Linked DNA regions of Drosophila melanogaster. The protein of the gene in region 4 interacts with the protein of the main gene of each other region in a pairwise test. Each region holds a gene or a part of one and is shown on either strand. Other genes may lie near its edges. The genes, in order: for, CG17528, Kif19A and Hsp67Ba.

Evidence for each region.
Region 1: the proteins of Hsp67Ba (region 4) and for interact in a two-hybrid assay, tested with the Drosophila melanogaster proteins (one large-scale study listed by BioGRID).
Region 2: the proteins of Hsp67Ba (region 4) and CG17528 interact in a two-hybrid assay, tested with the Drosophila melanogaster proteins (one large-scale study listed by BioGRID).
Region 3: the proteins of Hsp67Ba (region 4) and Kif19A interact in a two-hybrid assay, tested with the Drosophila melanogaster proteins (one large-scale study listed by BioGRID).

Annotation. Positions count from the first base shown.
Region 1 is NT_033779.5:3,653,942-3,658,666, forward strand, and holds the start of for (foraging), read right to left. Parts: upstream 3,013-4,725; 5' UTR 2,781-3,012; exon of another isoform or gene 2,767-2,780; intron 1,645-2,766; 5' UTR 1,329-1,644; intron 1-1,328.
Region 2 is NT_033778.4:4,821,317-4,826,275, forward strand, and holds the start of CG17528 (uncharacterized protein), read right to left. Parts: upstream 3,004-4,959; 5' UTR 2,589-3,003; intron 1-2,588.
Region 3 is NT_033777.3:14,112,436-14,120,166, reverse strand, and holds Kif19A (kinesin family member 19A), read left to right. Parts: upstream 1-1,716; 5' UTR 1,717-1,877; intron 1,878-4,842; 5' UTR 4,843-4,939; coding exon 4,940-5,050; intron 5,051-5,206; coding exon 5,207-6,638; intron 6,639-6,700; coding exon 6,701-6,849; intron 6,850-6,910; coding exon 6,911-7,254; intron 7,255-7,327; coding exon 7,328-7,544; 3' UTR 7,545-7,716; downstream 7,717-7,731. Other genes in the region: Abi (abelson interacting protein), read left to right, coding at 1-102.
Region 4 is NT_037436.4:9,377,265-9,381,485, forward strand, and holds Hsp67Ba (heat shock gene 67Ba), read right to left. Parts: upstream 2,271-4,221; 5' UTR 2,176-2,270; coding exon 838-2,175; 3' UTR 538-837; downstream 1-537.

The DNA.
Region 1 (4,725 bases), on a different chromosome or scaffold from region 4:
AGTTCTTAGATATTTGAAGGGCACTATCGATATGAAATTGATTTTTAAAAAGAACTTGGCATTTGAAAATAAAATTATTGGTTATGTGGATTCTGATTGGGCTGGTAGTGAAATTGATAGAAAAAGTACAACAGGGTATTTATTCAAAATGTTTGATTTTAATCTCATTTGTTGGAATACAAAGAGACAGAACTCAGTAGCAGCCTCATCAACTGAAGCTGAGTATATGGCCCTATTTGAAGCCGTGAGAGAAGCTCTATGGCTTAAATTTTTATTAACTAGTATTAACATTAAACTAGAAAACCCCATTAAAATTTACGAAGACAATCAAGGCTGTATTAGCATAGCAAACAATCCCTCATGTCATAAACGAGCTAAACATATTGATATTAAATATCATTTTGCCAGAGAGCAAGTTCAGAATAATGTGATTTGTCTTGAGTATATTCCTACAGAGAATCAACTGGCTGACATATTTACAAAACCGTTGCCTGCTGCGAGATTTGTGGAGTTACGAGACAAATTGGGTTTGCTGCAAGACGACCAATCGAATGCTGAATGAAATTTTTATATATATTTTTCAAATTTAAATTCCTGTAAACATATTTTGTTACAATGATCTGATCGGGTTTTTCTGGGTTTTCCCCGTATCCTCGCAGCAAATGCTGGATCAGTTAACACTTCCCAGAATGCACACCACCCACATTTGATAGTTACTAATGAATATTATTGTTATGTTTTTAATTATAGACGTTATTTTTGAGGGGGCGTGTTGGAATATACTATTCAACCTACAAAAATAACGTTAAACAACACTACTTTATATTTGATATGAATGGCCACACCTTTTATGCCATAAAACATATTGTAAGAGAATACCACTCTTTTTATTCCTTCTTTCCTTCTTGTACGTTTTTTGCTGTGAGTAGGTCGTGGTGCTGGTGTTGCAGTTGAAATAACTTAAAATATAAATCATAAAACTCAAACATAAACTTGACTATTTATTTATTTATTAAGAAAGGAAATATAAATTATAAATTACAACAATCACTTTCGGCTCTAAGGCGGAGAAAAGGGCTTAAAGACCCTGAGCCTTAATTGTTTATTCAAAGCACGGACCAGAAAAAGACAGCACTGGAGCAGTCGAAAGAGATGGGTATATAGACAAAAGGGCGCCTTGGCGAAAAAAAAAATTATTCAAAGGCCGAACGATTGTGCAATCACAAAGTTCGTAGGCGGCATAAATCCATAAATAAACAATAAGTATGAATAAATAAGTTGCTGTTCGACAACAGCGAACAGTAATTGCATATTAAAATGGAGCTTACATGTTGGACGAAAAGTGAAGAAATTCCAGGGTCGATGTAAATGTTATGGTTCCAGTCGCAGAGAATCGCTCTCTTTTCTTCTTGTTGTTGCGATCAGCCGGCTTTTGCGAAGAAAGTTTCTTCGTTTCCACTTGTTGATTTGTGATCGGCTGTCTCGCTCGCGCACTCTTCAGTTTCCTCGTTAATTCACAGGAAGCACAGAATTAAGGCCGAAAATATATTTATAAATGAAATGCAGGCGGCACACGAAACTTCGCCATCAATTTAGACGGCCTGCACTTTTGTTTTCTCGAGTCTTTCCACTTGCGTTGCGTTTCTATGAAATTGGGCATTAAAATTTAAATGCTATTAGCCACAGAACACGAACACGAAAGATTGGGAAATGAAATGAAGGAGAGAGAGTGAGAGAGAGTTCTCTCACTCGTCGCTGTTATTGTTATCACCTGAGTCGAATACAGTGGGACCCCCACTTGAAGATGCAAACAAGACTGAGCTTTTACCAATAGTATTCAATAGTTCACTGATATCGATTAAATAATTTTAAAACTTTTGATCAACATTGCTGATTAACGCTTATTGGATTTAAGAACATTCGATTTGTTAATACTTGTGATCTGGCTTAATATGATAATTTAAGTCGAGCCCCACTGTACTCTTTCTCGCGGATTTTATCGCTCACTCTTTTTGTTTTCAGTTCACTCTCTCTCGCTCCGCATAGTTTGACTTGTTGTTGTTTCTGCCAGCGTAGCGTAGTTAACTTGAGCGGCAGCAACAACAACATCAGCCATACTTGTTGCTAAAAATAGTAGCGGCGGCGAGACAGAAACAGAAAACAGAAAAACAGCGCGGCAGAATAAAATATGAAAAGGCGCACAAATTGGAAAAAATTGTACATGACGAGCAACAAAAACAAGCAGCAAGTAACAAAAAGGAGGAGGAGTAGTTACAACAACAACTGAGCTTCTGTTGAAATATATCAGAGAAAAGAAAGGCAAAGAGGCAGATCGGCGTAGAAAGGAAATGCGACGCAAAACTGCAGTCAAAGAATTAGTTGGAATGATGGACTGAAAAGTGTCAAGTTTAGCACGGAAAATTCGTCAGCTGAAGTGCGAAAGAGACAGAGCGAACGAGCAGCTAACAAGTGATTTTCCATGAAATTAATTGCAGACTGCATTTGAATTAATAATTTTCCACTTTGAAATCACAAACTAAAAGAGAGCCGCTCTCTCTTCCACTCTCTTCGCTTAATGCACCAAAACTGCATTCACAATTCACGTTTTACTAATATTTAGTCAACTTTAACCACTGCCTTTGCTTTAATTGCTTTTTAAGGCAAATAGTTGCACATATGGAAAACGCTAGTTGTTGTTTTATTTTAGAATTCAGAATTGAGCACAAATGCTAGATCGTACGACTAGCGAAAGCAGCAACAACTAACCAAGTGGCACGCACACACAAGCACAAGTCGATGAAAAACCACCGAACTAAATGGCGATGTGGATTATTCTGATAAACGCCAATGCCATATATATATATATTTTTTTTCTTTTATTAAGAACTTGTGCCAAAATTTGCAGGAAAACCACGCGTTGCATTGATTCTTATAAAAATGCCGCTAAAGTCAATTCCAAGCACGATCGCGACAAATGACAACCGCACAGCACGAGAAATTCCAACAGACTGAAAATGAAACAAACAACTTACTCGCTACCACTACTCGAATATTATGAAATAAAGAGCACATTAGCATTTTTTCTCTTAATTTTTAAAAAATTATTTTCTCTTCTGATGCAATGTTATGAATTAGCGTTGAGATAGAAAAAAAAAATTTAAAACAATATTATGCTCAATCCTTTCTACAAATTAATTACTTTAATCAAATAACAAAATATTCATATTAATAAAAGTGTACTTTGTTTGTTAACGTAAATATACTATGTGAAAGGAGTAGATTTAGTAGAGTAGTAGAATTTATAATATTTTCCCTGCTAGTTCTCTCAGAGATGATGTATCAGTTTGATTTTAATAATCATTCCGAATGAAATCATCATTGAAGTTGGTCAAGATCGGTCTTAAATTAATCTAGTATTATAAATTGCCAATGCAGGATTAACTCTGCGCCATGATTTATTCAACTTTTCTCGTATACTTTTGGAACTAACAGCACACAACGCCTATCCGTTTACGACAAATGGTGTTTGTTTTTGGAACTAATACAGCGCCATTTTTCATTTTAGTGATTTCTAACTTACGTTGTACGTTACATTTCAGATTTATTATGCATGTAAGATGTAGAATGTCATAGCAACTGGCCGTCATGTATGTAAATATGTGTATGTATAGGCATTTCAGAGCCATTTTCTGCTCATATGTAGGGGTGGAGCCTGAGAAGAGAGAAAATCCCAAAAGGGGAATAAGAAACTGGGAAATTTTACTATTTAACTCGTTTCGTAAGAGGGTATACTAGATTTGTTAAGAAGTATATAACAGGTAGAATGAATTTTCCGATCTTTTATGGTACATAAAAAGACATTTTTTGAAACATGTTGAAAATTCAAAATTTTTTAATTAAACATAAATGTTTAAGTGGAATAAGTAACATATTGTAAAAATTATTTATTAATTTTAACCGTTATTTATGTACAATTTCGTAAGGTTAGAAAAATCCAAGGATCTTTGGTCGGGAATTTCCCTCAAGAAGGCGTTGCAAACTTAAGACCACCCACCCCCAGTATTGTGCCACCCCTCCCCAACTTCGCAACCCTCTTTTCACCCCTCTGCCGCTCTCGCAGTCGACGTCGCCGGGAAGGAAGGAAAGAGATAGCAGCTGGGAGAAAGGACAAAAGGAGAAACGGGTCGGTGGAAAAGGAGGAGGAGAAAGTAGAGGAAAAGTGAGGCGGCAGCAAAAGTTGATTAGATGGATTTCGTTTGGTTTTTGTGTTTTTAATCACACACCAATTTCATTTATTAAATCTTCGCATCAGCATTTCATTTCTCGCATTCCCTATCTTTCTCTTTCCCTCCTTCTGTCTCTTTCGCTTGTGCAGTGCCTTTTTTGTTTGGCTTTGCGACGGCATTTTTGTATTTTCTGTACCGTAGTGTTTGCTCGTTTGGCCTTCTCTTTTCTCTCGCACTCCTGTTTGTTTGTTTGTTGTTTTCCCGTTCACTCATTGTCACGAGCAATTTCACTCTCTCTCCACACCCCACCACCCCCGTCTCTGCCCATCTTTTGGCCCAGGCAAAACTTTTTGCAAAATGAAATTGTTTTCGTATTAACAATTTCATTAAAATTAAATTACTTTTATTATTCCGACAGAATCAGACAAACGAAAGGAGAAAAAAGCCAGCCTCCCCTGCCGCCCCCTCACCCCTTTCAGCCATTTTGGCCCCCCATTCT
Region 2 (4,959 bases), on a different chromosome or scaffold from region 4:
ATCGAAAGCCTGTAACGAGAGAAGGCCAGCTTCTGCGACATACAAAAAACTAGCCTATCATAGATATTTGTTCTCTTTCTGTGACGTCTATTAAAAAGAAATCAATTAATTTATTAAGTTGTTAATTTAATTAACTTAACTTATTTGTTGTAAATTGTTGTTGAATATGAAATATTGAATATAGCATTATTGGAATTTTAGGTACAATTTTATGACTTTACAGTAAATGGCTATTTAGCCTTTTCCCTGGTATAATTTTTCGTAATTTTTCTAAAATGGTAGCATTACTTCTTGTTGTGTGAACAAGGTATCTTATTTTTTTTATTTATACAATATTGGTGCCTCGTAATATTTTTTCCGACTCTTTTAGTACTGCAACTTATATAGTAACGTAATTATGCCTTCCTCATAATTCACTTATACAAAAGACCGACCGCGATGGTCCGCCGTCGTATCGATTACCCGTTAAATAAAAAAAACATTTCTCTATATTTCGCATTCACTCAAGCCGTAACCAAAACCCAGCCATTAGGCAGGCACATAGCCACGTAGCACATAAGAATTCTTTTTAACATGTATGCACATAAACATAAGCATAAGCAAGAACAACCCACTAACCCAGTACATCTAAGATTTTCTCACCACAATTGTTTCAGTCTTAAGCTGATATTCAATCAATAAAATCGCAAAGTGGATTCATTCGGAGTTTTTATTTATTTCAACGTTGATCTTAGTTCAAATACGGATCATTTATTCGGCTCAGAACAATAACTATTGTACTTTATATGTTTAATATGTTTTCTGTATTTTTAAGATAGTATAAATTGTCAGATAGATTCAAATAGATTGGGTTGAGAATTGGTCTATTAGGTCAAACGAAAAGTCGTTGTTTTGTTCGTCATTTATTTTAACTGTTTGCATGGGATTGATATCGCCAAGTCTTTTGCCAAGAATAAAGAAGAAAATATTTTATAGCCCAACTTTTTTTGATATCGAATTTCGATTTTTTGCGAGTTTAATTTTCTATAGTCGACAATTTATCGCCGCCATTTCTTTTGTTTTGATAAGTCCAATTCTTTTCTTCCACTTTTCAAAAATGTGGACATGGCAGTTTTGAGCGGTTTTAGGGCGTTGAAGTGGGAGTTTGCAAATAGATAGAATTTTACAAGACTAGTAAAAATGTAAAAAAATATTCAAAAATATTTCAAAAAAACTTTAGACTTCACTCAGAGATTAAAGTCAAACGAAATATTATCAATAAATATTTTTTGCCCAACCATTATTATTAGTTTTTATGGTTTGCCCATCCTTAAACAAATCTTTAACCAAAGTTTTTTCCGATTGCCCACACTTAAAATATTACCAGTTTCGTTAGCCTACCTCTTGAAAATAAAAATTAAGAATAAAAAACGTTTGCCTAGCCTTTAAAAATAAATTATCATTTACACATACTTTAACATTAGTTTTTTTGTTTGCTCACTCTTTAAAATGAATAATTTCGTTTGCCCACCCTTTAAAATAAGCTTTTTTTCTATCAGATACCCCTTACTCAGCTAGTGGAAATGCGAACTCGAAATTCCATATATTTTCAGCGATATCTACAGATATTGGTGAATAAAATGAGAAAAAATTTAAAATTTGTCAAAAGTGTGGGAGAGAGAGAGTGGGTGTGGCAAAAAGTTTTTTGGCAGATCCATAGAAATTTATAATACTATTAAATATATGAAAAACATGAGAGAATGCTATAGTTGAGTTCTGCGACTATCATCATTTTTCTGTGATATCGATAGTCCTCATCATTTGTCTTATTTGCCGCTTCAAACGTAAACAACCATCTAAGGACATAGAATCCGGATGCCTTCAAGTTGCCTCGAAGTGGTCCTGCGTAATGCCACCCAGAACCGGATGCGGCACCGTCAACAGTAACATCGACGGTACCGGGCCGGGCGAGCTTCTTTCCCCTTCAGCAAAAGCGATGTGCAACGTTCAGTTCAATACGGGACGGGCATGTCCGCTGCCCTCAACGGAAGACTTTGTGAGATAAATAAGTGAGCTCTAGAAGTTATTTTGTAAGAGACCGAAAACAAGAGAAGTTGGCTCAATAAATACCTATTTTATTATAATAATCTAATTGACTTAATTTATATACTACCAGCAATAGAAAAGTTTTAAAGTTTTAGGACTGGGAGACTAGTTTGCTTAGGAACGGACGGCCAGACACAGATGTCTTCTGTCTAAACCAATATACCCTTCGCAAGGGTAATAATATATAATAAGTAAATGTGTAAGTATAAACATTGCAATAATATCGTGCAGTAAAAATATTTTTGCTTGGCTGGTTGTTTTATAGGCTGCTTGTGTTGATTGAAATAAGCTGGAAACCATAATACCCTGCATTGAAAATGGTTGTAAGGGACACCAGTCTTTTAAACACTCCAATCAATGCACAGACGAACTTCAATTTGATAGCACAGTGGAGAATTAATAAATGCAAAACTTTGCCACGCTGTTAAGGGGACGGGTTAAATATATTTGGTCGCAATGCGTACTTTAAAGAGGATGTTATTTGACATCTTTAATGCTCTCACCTGATGTCAAAACAATGTATTTTTTGGGTTGTACCTTGAAACCTGTACGGCTGAGTTGCGTACACAATTTTATAGTTATTCACACAAAAGGATTATACCGGAATTTTACTTATGGATTTTCGCTCAAGGTGATTTATGATGTCAGCATGTTTTAGTTTTTTAACCGTGTTCGACATTCGTTATAGCACAAACTAAAATTGATTTACCTGTCAATAATACTAAATTGAACACTGTTATTAAATATACTTTTTTACAATTCTTTTTCATTGAATCATTCCGCCTAAACAAAATGTAAAAAACTTATTGTTTGTCAAAAGATAATTCAAAACGGATATTATATTTAATAATAATCTTTAGCACAAATGTAAACTGCTTTAATTGTAATACCGTGCTTCGATATCACCACACATACACCGTTGGGCCGCAACAGATTTCGAAACTCGTTCCTATATAAAATTCACGCCGTCAAGATATCGTCGATGATTTTACGCCGATTAAGGAATATTGGAAAAGAGGGAAAATTAGGTTCTTATTTATTCGTTTTTTCAGGCCCTATCTAATTTAAAAATTTAAAATGTATGAAGTAGAATGTATTTAAATTGTTACTGTTTAATTATTTATAATAAATAATTTTTTTATTATTATTTAAATTTATTCGGTGATAGACGTTTGCACTTATACTATTACAAGACACTTTTTTTAATAGCTTATCTTTGTTTTGAAACTGCTCACGATCTCGTCCCGATTTAGACTGATCTTTTAAATCTTAATCCTAATCCACTCAGCCTCGGCCAGAAGCATTTCTTTAGGATTTTCTTGAACTTTCAAATATGTTAAGGATAAAAGCTTTATACTGAAATTATTTCACAGCATTGTGAAATCGAAATTTGCTGACTGGTGATTACTTTAAGTTTGGTTATTTATCGGGTGGCTAAGTGCTGGCACCCAAAACGGGCAATGAAAATGCTGCTGAGAATGGAGATTGAAATTTGTTTATCAACTGGGGATTAACTTGGATAATTGACAGGGTTGGATAATTGAAATGCTGCTGAGATTGGAGTTTGAAATTTGTTTATCAACTGGGGCAGAGTGCTATATTTAAGGATTGGAGAACTTATATAAGTTAAGTGCCGAGGACCTGGAGGAATGACCCCAGGTCGGCAATAGATTTGATATTACCTAAATGTCGGTTCCATATGAAATGATATCAATCGAATATTTGTCTTTAGTCTTTGTCTTTATTCCGCTTGATTGGTTTGCATTTTGGTAACAATCCGCTCGAGTTCGGTTCTTCTCCAAGAGTGTCACTTCGCTCGCCAGCTATGAGCGTCGAGCCCTCGGGCAGCTAGCATAAGTGCTAACCAGGCGCAACGTGACATTCGTTGACGCGCCCGAGTGTTGCAGTCATGAGAGTGCCGGCCCAGTAACTCCGCACAATGTTGTTGATCTTCCGCTGCCAGCGCGAAATACTGTGCTGACGCCGCAGCGGCGGTGAGGCAGGAAACGCCCCACTTTCAGATCGTTGACCAGTTCAGCGTTTAGCTTCTTATATACTTACATATATATAATTTTATATTATTATATATTATTTTTATTTTTAAGGAAGGGAATATAGTAGTCGCGTACATCGAGAGCTCCCTGTATATAATTGACTAGTACAACAGCTAGAACAAGCTGTTTTACCTTGTTTGAGGGCTCACGTAAAATGAGCTCGCATAAGCATTCTCCCCCTGACCAACTACTAATGCTGACGGCTGAGTGCGCGCGAGAAGCAAAGCGAAGCGATGAGATAATATTGGGCAAGTACGAGCGATAAGCCACTGCAAGCATTTTTAAGTGCAATCGCTCGAAAGTTATTAGAGTGAGACCGATAAAGCGAGAGAGCAGTTTGCAACCTTATTTATCGCTTTAACTCGCTTAGAGCGTGCGATTGTTTTGATGTGCTTTCTGTGCTTTTATTTTCAAAACACATTTTTTGGTTTTGTTCTATTCTGTGCTTTATTTACCGTTTACTTTTAAAGCACGCGGTTTTTATTTTTGCATATGGTGTGAGAAAACACCAGAACGAAATGGACGTAAACGTGGTTTCGTAAGCCATTATATAAATTATTAAATTCACCTTTGGCATTTCCATTGCAGTTAAGGTTGTGGACGTCAGTTTTTTTTTAAACAGAAAGTTAATAGTTGCACTTGATGCAAAAAACTCCGAACGAAAAACTATTTATTTTCAAATAATAATAAGAAAAGCTTTTAACAGGCAAAAATAGTCGAGTCGATCAGTCTGTCTGTATGAACGTCGAGATCTCAGTAACTATAAAAGAAGAAGGATGAGACTCAGCATACAGATTCTAGCGGCAAAGACGCAGGAAAA
Region 3 (7,731 bases), on a different chromosome or scaffold from region 4:
GTGCTGTACGTGCTCAAGAAAAACGACGACGGCTGGTGGGAGGGCGTCATGGATGGTGTTACCGGTCTGTTTCCGGGCAACTACGTAGAGCCTTGTGTCTAAGCCTCGCATCGATATTCTAAACATGCCAACCATTACAATAATCTGCATCATCTGGTCTGTTCCAGTCCTCTGCTGCTTCTCAAGAGCTCCAAAAAATTTCAATTCAGTTATCGGAGAGTTAGACTGAGGACCGCAACAGACTCAGCTGACAATGACGATAAGATTTTGAGCATATTAATAAGGACAATTATACAATTACACACCTACACAAGCACAGCAGGCCAGAGAAAGCGAATTCCATTAGCATCAGCCAACCGCATTTAGTCTAATATAAACGAGCACACAAACACACAGAATCCACGGGCTAGGGATACCGCTTGCTGCCCAACTAAAACTATTTACACTTTAGTAGCCGAAAACGATGCAAGAAGGGGAAAGTGAAACCGGATACCCGTGAATAACTTATGCGATATTATAAAACTGTTCCACAACCGTAGACGAATTCTGTCCTGCTCCTGCCGCCAATCCAAATACTTTAAATATTTGCTCACAGTTTTATCAAGCGATTTCTGTTTGCCTTGCGCTTTGATATGCCCGGCTATTATACACCAATACTACCCGAACCTATGCCCCCAGCAATACTGTAGGTTATATAAATTTCAGTTAGCATTTAATACTTAAGTATTGGCCAGTTGGAACTTTTGTTTATACTTTTACGAACCGCAACGATGTCTTTTTTTTGCGAACGTTTAGTTAAAATGGAATTGCCAGCAAAGGAATCAAATTAAATTAAACAATACAAGTACACATACGCTCTATATGGTAAAAATAATAGCTAATAAAAATTTCAATTACTAAACCGCAAGCCCTTGTTCTATGACCGTGTAATTTGCGCTGACCTTCTCGTGAGTCGAGCCCCGGATGTCAGTAAAAATCCGTAATTGGGGCAAGGCTCTGTGGCCTGCCAAATTCAAATTCGAAATCTCAAATGCAAATTTCAAGTCGTGTGATGGAAGGCTTGAAATATTTGCAAATGCCAACACTCATTGGGGTCATTCAGTCAGTCAATCAATCCATTATAATCGACACTTTGCTCTACAAACCGATTTCAATTCAATGTCTCGTCCCGGAAAACTTTTCCATAACTCGGCTCCGGGTAAATTAATGCTTTCGTGGTGATATGTGGAAGGTTTTTTACCCATTTGCTAAATTTATTATCAGGTTTCGAGGAGTTGACGTGGCGGAAATGCCAGAAAAAAGTGGAGTGCTGGCATGATTTGCATAAAATGTGCTAAATTGTTGCCCACTTTTTGGGCCCCTCAACTATACATACATAAATATGGAAATACCTTTATTTGTGAACAATTATTGGAGTGGACCTGAACAGCTTGAAGACGGACTCTTTGAACGACTACTTTAACCCACAACTGGCCAGCGGCAGGTGGAACCCGCCAGGAATGTATGCAAAATGGCGCATTAGCATTTGAACAATGCCATAGTAAAAAAACGTGGCAACAACAATAGTTGGTTGATTGTGCCGTGCCAGGAGTCGAAACACCGCCCACCCAGCAGGCACCCAACCTGGAATCCATTCCAAACCCCCTGGACATGCCTATAATTTCGTTATTTTCTGACCAGGCCGAGTCGGACGCTTCAGTTGAGTTTGGTACGTCGACGCGAATGGTTCCACAAGTCGCTTTCATTTCGGATTCTACTCCACAACGTTCTTGGCGACCCAGTGTTTCCGGTGTGTTTTGACTTTAAGCCTCTTTTTTTGGCGAGTGGCGTGTCCGGAATAGTTTTCCGAGCGGATAAAGTGCAATACAAAACTATTTGTAAGTGAACCGCGATGCAGAGGTGCTTGAAAAGTTTTTATCATTTGTGTGTTTTACATAATCGAAATGTAAGCCGAGATTGGGGTGGCTCCTCTCTGCGGGCACCGCATTTAATTGACCTACTTGGTGCCGGATTTACTTGCTGGCCAAGTGTAAAATATTACATTATTCCATGTCAGGATTGGGGCCACTGGCCACTTTGTTTATGGCGTAAAGAATTCGCCTGCCTCGTCAATGCGGACAAGTTGGCCCACTTAATGTCGAAATTCTCAAAGTTTCGTGACACGCACAACTTTCTCGAAACTCGAGACGCGCTAATTTGGAAAACCCCGTGAAGGTTAAAAGTTTTGCACTTGCATTCAAAGTCCACTACAAAAATGACGTCACCTTGGATGCATATTGGGGGCTGGTCACTCAGCTTAATGGGCCACTAAAAATAAACCCGGCAAGTGTGTGCCAAGGGAAATGGCTTTGGGTAATTAAGTCGTCTCCAGGTCAAAAAAGCCATCAATCACCACCACTGCGTATACGCAATGCTCCTGGTGGGTAATTACACTCTGGCATTATGGGGTTTGCCTTTCTCGGGCTTTGTTAGCTTGGCAGGATTTAATAGGGAAATACTCATAATTTTTGCTTATCTAACAAGACTCTTTGTTTTGGAATTCAGAATTCCTTTTAATATGAACTTAATATGTAAATATGGTTAATATAAGATTGGATTGCACTGCAATTGATTTTTCCAATTATGAAGATTATAAATACCATAACCATATGGAATTATAATACATCAAGCACTTGAATAACAACTTTAATGAGCAGTGGTATTATTTTGTGACCTCGTTTTCATATCGAACGTATAGAAAATAACTATAACCATTTGTCAAAGCTTACGGGTCTTTTGTTTTATTCAGATCCCCATCGATGGGTATGTTTATTTGGATTCCTTTTGGTCGATGGCCATTGTCGCGAGTGAGTTAAAAGGTATGTGTTCTTTATCACTCACTAGACTGTCCTGGATCGAAAAGCAAACTCATTAGCCATAAAGAGTCTGTCACACGTGTTATTACTTAGCCGTGCTTGGAGTTATAGGACTTTTCCAGCTACCCTTTCCCACCGAATCGGGACTTTCCCTCGAAAAACGCCTTTCAAAGCTTCAATTCATATGCGCTACTCCATTACTCCCGACCCAACTGCCCCAATTCTCCCCCTAAGCGCCACTAATGAGCTCTAAGCAGACCACCATGCGCTGGCCACACAATGCCACACCTCCACGTGGCTCCAACTCCCCCATGGGGTTCACTAGCCGGCAAATCAAAGCATGGAACACCAAAGCATTAAAAACATTAACAGTCGACGTGCGACAACAACCGAAGACAAAGTCACTGAGCCACCGAACCACTGCACTACTTAACCACCCAGTCGAATAGCCCACCACAAACCATTCGGAATGCCAACCACATGCCGCCCCACATCCAGTTGATTCAGAAGTCCTGTCCACTTGCCTTCGTGTCGTGTCTGCCGGCAATTTACACAAATTCAATAAACGACCAAAAGACCGTCGTAGTGGAATTCGAAACAAGAACTGGCAAAAGTGTTGAGGTCTCCTCGTGGGTGGTGGTTTAAATCGGACTCAATTGCACCACCCATTAATGGGCGCTCAATTAAAGTGCTCAAATCGATTTTCGGCATTATCAAATTAACTGCCTTCGAAATAGGCACCGAATTATCATAACAAATAAATTATATATTCCATTCGGAAATAAGTTAATTCCCTATGATCTAAAATATATTAAGACTTTATGCACTTCATTTAATGGAAATTAGTGGGAATTTTACAGAACCTCAAATAGAACAAAAAAATTTATATATAAATAAGTGCATATTTTCCCAATGAGTTCCTATAACAGCCTATAACATATCTATACATTTCAAGCGATCGCTGTTATAATTTTTCCCAGTGTATCGAATGACACCCCATCACTCAATTCGAACGCCCATCTCTGTTGACATTCAAGGCCTGTAATTTGTGTACATATTTGAGGAGCAAGTGCCGCGGAAGCTTGGTCTTTTTGTTATGGGCTGTTCCATCACAAATTCATGGCACCTGAATGGGAACATGGAATTAAAATGAATAATCCAAACCGTTGGCACTCAATAAGTCCCACGTTTTATAATTGACCAGCTCTTAGGCAAATGAAATTAATTATGGCTTTGGGGAAGCGACAGTTGGCTGCGGGGCTATGGAAGTTTTCCTTTATAGTGAGTGACAGGTGTTGGGTGTTTGGGTTCAGAGGTCACAACATGTTTGGCACACGGACAAAGATTATGGATTAGCGTGAATGGATTGACACTTCTATTTCCGGCAACACTTTCATTTAATTTGAATTTTATGCACTTCAATTTTATGGACAACACCATGCGAAAAAGAAAAAATTGGCTGGAACTTTCAAGAATCCATATATGATTTGAAACATATGATTAGAAATATTGGAAGTCTTGTAATATAGGTAAAATTGTGTTTAGTATTGTGGGCAACATTATTTTTTTTAGAGATCCATCACCTTTTTATTGGAATTTTGATCCATAATCTGAACCCTTGAAGGTTAATAGACTCTTGAGGACTTCAGGGTTCCCAGTTCAGGTACAGTACCCTCTCGATGACCATCGAACTGCTCCATTTGATTTGCATGCGGAGACACGCAGGCACTTTTTGGGTGTTCAAGTTCACGGCTTGATTTATGGCCCACGCCAGCTCCTTTAGCTCCTTGAGTTCTTTGGGCCACAGGTAAACAAGAGCCATGGGACTCCAAGGACCCTCCTTCACAGAGAAATTCCCTGTAAAGAGGCGAGACCTTGGCGCGCAAATTCACAAGTCCATTAGGAGTTCGTTGGGTGTTTCCCGCGCTGATGGCAGTTTTACGATTGTTGACAACAAATTGACACGATTTGTAATGGTCCTGTCCAGGTCAGGTCATCAACCAGGCCAGGCGGCACGTGGCTGCACAAGGACTACCCACCCACATATCCATTGCTATTTGCCATTTATCTGAAGGATCGCAGTGATGGCGACCAGTGCTGGAGCGAGCAGCTGGTCGGGCAGCAGTGGAGGCAGCAACTCCTCCCAAGGACGATCCATTGCTACAGCTCAACCGGCGCAGGAGGAGAGATTAGTGGTGAGTATATACTCTATGGAGAATATACTATTTCAGAAACAATTACTTAAATTTAGAATTTAATATTACAATTGAAGATATGATGGGATAAGAAGTTCTTCCTTTTTTTTAATCAGTTGCTTTAGTACGTAATAATAACTTCCTAATCTTCTTTAGGTTGCAGTTCGGGTTCGACCCAGTATGGAGGCCACGGAACGCTGCATCGAAGTCATCTCCGGCGGATCACTTCTGTACGATGATGGCGGAAAGAGTCGTCCACGGCAGTATTCGTACGATCATGTATTCCGGGAGAACGATAGCCAGGAGCAGGTTTACAAAACGACTACGGCTCCTTTAGTCAGAGATGTCCTTAACGGTCTGAATGCGGCCGTTTTCGCCTATGGAGCCACTGGATCCGGAAAGACGCACACCATGCTGGGACCTGTGCCGCGCAAAAAACCGCAGACCAGCGATCGTGCCCCACCCACAGCATCCTGTGATTCCACAGACGTGAGCAGCCAGGACATCGGGCTAATGGTGCGCGCCATAGAAGATATATTCAGTCACATCGAGTCAGCGGAGGCGTATTCGTGTCGCGTTTCCATATCCTACCTGGAGATATACAACGAGCTCATAAGGGATCTCCTTAATCCTGGAGGACCCTTGGAGCTGCGAGAGGATCATCGTGGCCAGCGCATCACCGTGGCTGGTCTCTCGGAGATTACCACTTCCAGCAGAAAGGAGGTTGTAAGTCTGTTGCTCAAGGGAAACAAGGCCAGGACCATGGAGCCGACGGCCGCGAATCAAACTTCCTCACGCAGTCACGCCCTTTTGAGTATTATGGTTCAGGCAAGGACGCCGTTGGGCACCAAGCAAGGACGACTCTTTCTCACCGATCTGGCCGGATCGGAGCGGGCTAAGAAAACAAAGAATAGGGGTAAACGATTGCAGGAAGGTGCCCACATAAATCGAAGCTTGCTGGCACTGGGCAACGTTATCAACGGACTATCCGGCGGTGCCAGGTATGTCAACTACCGGGACTCCAAGCTAACCAGGCTGCTCAAGGAGGCGCTGAGTGGTCGCTGCAAGACCGTAATGATTGCCCATGTTGCACCGGAAAGTAAGCACCGCGATGAGACCAAGAACACTCTGGTTTACGCCGACCGAGCTAATAGCATCACTACCAAGCTCCAAAACTCCGTGTACATCGATGAGTTCAAGGACTTTCCCACCAAACACTACCAAAGTCTCGTTTCGGAGCTGCGCGATGAAGTATCACGTCTGCGCACCAAGATGCTAACCGAAAGGCCTCGGAGTGGAGCAGCTGCAGCAGCGGCAGCCGCAGCAGCTTCAGGCTCTGCTGGGACCGCTGGATCTGGAGCTGGATCGGAAGCTGTCCAGGAACAGGACGAACAGCGCAAGACCGAACTCCGTTACCTGCGCGAACAGATTGTTCTCACCTTCAAGCAGCAGATGAAACTGCGCAGGAAACTCCTCGAGGCCGAGAGCCATCTACTGGGCTTGGAACTGGACGCTGAGCGGCAGCATATGATTATCTCCCACTGGCAAGGACGCATTGGAAAACTATATGATGCAATGGGCGATGACGGTGTGTTTTCTCCCACATATTACTGATCACGAAATCATCATATTTGGTTTGTTTTTCCGCAGACATTGAATCAGAAGGATCGGTGGCTTTGAAAAATGCCTGGGGAGAACTGGCGGCTATAGAGAAGGAGACCCGCCGCTACAAGGAAATCCGCGAGAGGACGGAGCACGAGCTGGAGCAATGCCGTCAGAAAGGAGTCAAACTGGAGGATGTGAGTCTTAGTGGGGTGCATTTATCCATTTGTGGGCAATAGTATCTTCCTTTCCGAACAGGAACTTCCGGAGCGCATTAGCAGTGACGAGGAACGCGAACTGCTAGCACTCCTCTGCCGTGTCCACGAGTTGGAGGCGGACAAGGTATCGCTGCAGGCGGAGCGGCTGGCTCGCCAGGCGGAGCTGCGCAGGCGTGATCTTCAACTGCTTAGGGCAGAAAGACAGCGACGCCTCTGCGAGGACATCATCAGCTCCCAGAGAAGGCTCATCGAAGAGGGCAACGTGGATCTGCCGGATGAGTTGCGTGAGCTTTATGGGCTTTACCAGCAGGAGATACATGCTGGCGTGGTAACACCCAGCACCAGCAACTATGAACGGAAACTACCGCCCATCTATACTGCGGGGTAAGGATTCATTTTGGGATAACTACAATATTGATCCGAGAAGAAGTTATTAAATTGTCACATTTGCCCAAAGATCTGACTCACCCGGCTCCAGTTCCAGTTCAGAGTGGTCGCCGGCCTCGCCCCTGCCTCAAATCGACAACCAAATGGATCCTGTCGACCGAGTCATGGGCCCACCTGTCAATCCGCGTCTGCCCCGGCTTTCCGCAGCTACAAGTGCGAATGTTCCAGCCGGAGGATCACGTCGACCTTCGTTAAGGGTGGCCAGGAATCCACATCCACATCCGTAGGATTGACGGTCACTAGTGGAATGGAAGGTGCTCAGGAATAGTTGTAATTAAGGCCTAGGATTCTTAGGAAGAGGATTCGAATGTCTGCTCAATTTACTCATTGTGTTATATCTTTCCATCCCAGGCACTTAAATATGTTATGCATATATCCAATAAAAATGTAAGCTTTAAGGACCTAACAAATTTT
Region 4 (4,221 bases):
TTGACTTGTAAGCAAAGGTTTTTAATCCTTTTTTTTCTCGTTTGAAGTTTTGCTTTTGCGCAAAGTTGCTTTGAGTTGTTCACTGCTCGATTTTTGAATTCGATCTGTGCTCTGTTCGTCAAGCGACGCTGCTTTTATACCCGCTGGAGCTTTTCTAGAAGAGTCCGGAAAGTGACAGAAAAAGGAAAGAGTAGAGAGAGAGAAGAGAAGAGAGAGAACGTGCACAGAGAGAAAAAATTATGAATATAGCTTTGTATCGTTTGATAAACGAGGGATCAAATTAGAAATTTCTTTTATAAAAGTCTAAATTGAATGCTGCTCTAAAAACAAAAAATAAAACTAACTAACCTTTCCCAATAAATGCCATGAGTTTCGAGAAATTTTAAATGTAGTTGTTGTCGTACGCGCAAAAGCAGAGCTAGTGCGCCTGTATGAGTGAGAGAGCCGAAGTTTCTAGAGAGTTGTTGCAATTTTCTAGAAAGAGCGCAAAAGAAACAGCCGGCTAACGGCAAACAAAACAAAACGTCAGTTTTTTTTATTCTGGTTTTCCTCTTTATTAAGTACATTATTTCGTGTTTCTGTCTTTAAGTTTTACTGGAATACTTGTAGTTGTTGTCACATATGTTTTTTAGAAAATCATACATACATATAACGCCAGCAATCTCCCACTATTAGTAATTGAGTGCTTTTCCCGTCAGCTTTCTCGCTTCTTTTTTTTTGTGTGAAATGCAAGAAAAGAAAACACAAGAAACACGTATGGAATAAAACGCACGCCTACCCGTGCAGATTATTATTTGTTCTTAATTACTATTTATGTTCTTTCTTTTAGTTCAGTCTTCACTTGGCCAGTTCCTCGGTTTTGGCTGCAGTGGCTCCATTTTCGCCTTGGTTTTTGGCCAGTAGAATGGCCGCATCTACGGCTGCCAGTTCCTCGCCGCCCTTCTCCTCCACTTTCTCTACTTTATCAACCTTCTCCGCCTGCTCCTCTTTGCTGTCTTCCGTGGAGATTTCCGGTTTCTTGGCCAGCGGCATTTCCACATCCTCGGCTGCTGCGACTGCTCCATTGCCGTTATTCGAGGCAACGGGCACTTCGTTGGCATTTGCATCCTCTGCCTTTTGCTCCTCTTCGATGCTTATAACGGGATTGGGTGTGGGTTCATCCACATTGGCAGTCTCTTCGTTTTTGGCCAACGCCACTTCCATGGACTCTGATTCTGGTTCTGCAACGCCATTGTTGGCACTGGAAGTGGTTCCTGCGGTGGAAGGGGCTTCCACTGCAACAGCAGCGGCAGCAGCAGCCTCATTGGAAATGGGGGGCGAAACAGCCGGCATTTCCATCTCTGTCTCTTCCTGACCGTTGCCGTTGCTCTCGGCGAGAGTGAGCGAGAGCGAAGGAGTGGGTGTGGGTGCAGTCGGATTTAAAGTGGAAGTGGTGGCACTAGCTGCCGCCTGCTGCTCTACCTCTGACGGCTTTGGCGGCTGCGCATCCTTATCCTTCTGCTGCTGCGATATCTGCTGGATGTCTACGATGCGCTCCTGTCGTTCCAGGCTGCCTTTGACGACTGGAAGTGGTGGCGGCGCCTTCACCGTCAGAATGCCGTCCGAGGAGAGGGTCGAGTGCACCTCGTTGGGATCATAGCCCTTGGGCAGGATGTACTTGCGGATGAAGTGGCGCGAGATCACCCCGTGGCCATCCTCCTTCTCGTCGTGCTGACCCTCGACCACGATGCAGTTATCGATGGTCTTGACGGTCAGTTCGTTGGCGGCGAACTGCTTCACATTCATGCTCACCTGGAAGCCGTTCCTATTCACCACGGAGTAGGCGGATTTGCTGGCCGCCGGTTGGCCACTGGTGCTGCCGCTTGCCCCGGACGTGCCCTTATCGCCCAATTCCTTTTCCAGCTCCACCAGCGACTTATTGCAGCAAGCAGTCTTGGCTCCGGCCACACGATTGTACGGATGATGGCGATGCTGCGATGCCGCCGACTGACCCTTGATGGGCACCCACATCATTGCATTCCCACGCCCCAACCCACGACTCAGCTGTGGCAACTGTGAGGTGGCCTCCAGTGGATACAACCCGAATCCGGCCGAATCATCTATATCCATTGCCAGGCTGCGATTGAAATCGTGCAGCTCCTCGGCCAAATCTAGTATGAACGGTATCAGCGACATTTTCACTTTCTTCCTATCTGGCTAAGATATATCTTTTATTTTTTAGGTCTTGCGGGGATTGGTGTCGTCTGGGAACCGGCGGCGATCCGTTCTGGCCTCCAACTGGACTGCGTTTGAGCCCTTATGGCTGAATGTCGACGCTTTTAAGCGGCTGTGCAGCGCTGAATGGAAAACCTGGTCACTTCCAGTCGGCTTCCATGCCAGCTCCCAGGCGAAAAACTATGCAACTCCTCCAGAGAACTCACCAAGGGGAAGGGCTACCCATTAAAACAGTCAGTCAAGCCATGTACTATGCCATTTTCTGCTATATACACCGAAATAAGAGATACTTTTCCTCTACCGCAGATAGCCAGAGAACAAAGAAAGTACTCGTACTCGTAGTCGGCAAGAAACCAGACAAACCAAACTGCAACGTTGCAAAACCAAATAAAAAAGATACGTAAAAGAGGCAAACCGGCTTGAAATCGAAGCATATATGCACGAATATCCCCCCCAAGAGATGCCATCTTCCTTGTACCGGCGATATACATATATGTACTCATATATACAAATATCCATATAGACGGGGTATATGTAAAGTGGTCGTGTTGCAGCTGAATTCCCACTGCCGGCATTGAGCGAACAGCTGAGAGTCTGAGTCTCGTGCCGGTTGCCGATGCGGATTCGAGTCGCCGGCGATAAACAACTACAACAACAGCTGGCTGGCTGGCTGGCTGGCAGGGCCGCCTGGAAGCTACAAATCCGCTGTTGCCAGAGCTGGAGGATTGGCAAGCCGGCGTCGCGTAAACATGCGCAGTGACAGCGTCTGGGGCAACCCATACATATGGTATCTCCATATACATTTGTATCTACATACATACATACATACCCTGCCACACAGATGATGATGATATTGCTGGATTCGTATGTGGTTACATAGCCAAGTGCAAGCGATGGCAACCGGTTGAAAAGCTCCAAAATGCAAAAAACAACAACAACACCAACAACATCCAGACGGGGGCCAGACAGTGGAGACTTTGCTAAAAATTTACTGGGGCCCCGAACTCAGCTGCGGGATACAATTCTGTATGGCCATATATTATATTATATAGTATGTTTGTATTGATATGGTGTATCTGCCAGCTGCAGTCGGAAAAGAGCAAAAACCTTCAGAGATTGCTGCGTACGAGATGCCCCCTTGTACATACGATACATTCCCCATGTACATACACACTGGGTACTTGCTCCCATTTACCTAACCAAGGGGAAGAAATCCGCCGGACGAGCATGCTCGCACATTATGTGGCCACCTTTTTGAATAGACAACTTCCACTGCGTTGGCGTTGGATTGTCCAAGCCCTGGGCACCAAGAGTACTCTACTTCAGTGGAGGAGGAGTGGTGACAAGAAAATGGGGCCATAAATAAAAACTCGAATTATATAACAACCAGAGATTGAGTTCTATAGCAATGCCCATGTATTATATGGTTATTCAATCGCTACTGTAACAACAAATTGTAAACAAATTGTCATTTGATTTGGTTATTACGAAGTAATTCTGAATTCTAAACAATGTGTATATAAGCTGAATATTTATCAAGTTGTACCAAGCAAATGTGCAGCTAAATCTTACATACATACATATGTATTTGTCTTAAGAAATTGGTCAAATATAATAAAAGGTTACAGCCTCGTTTTCAATAAACCAAATATTGACTATTAGAATTTATTAAATGTTTTTAATGTTTTTTGGTTTATGTTTTCATCTATCGACCTTTGAAATTCAAAATAGTTGCATTACATTTTATTCAAATAATTTTTACATCCTTCGAATCCTTTATTGTATGAATGTACATATGTTCCAAATCGTATCATTTTTACATTTTCTTACTGATTGGAGTAATAATACGCTTACATCCCATGGGTTATTACCTACCCGGCATTAACCACTTATGTATTTTAATTAGATTTCCCCACTACAGAGCCCCATTCTTGGATATTAATTAAAGTTAATAGCTTAAATGCCAGGCCATAAAAAGAAGAACTGTTCTGCAGTCTCGAAGTTTCG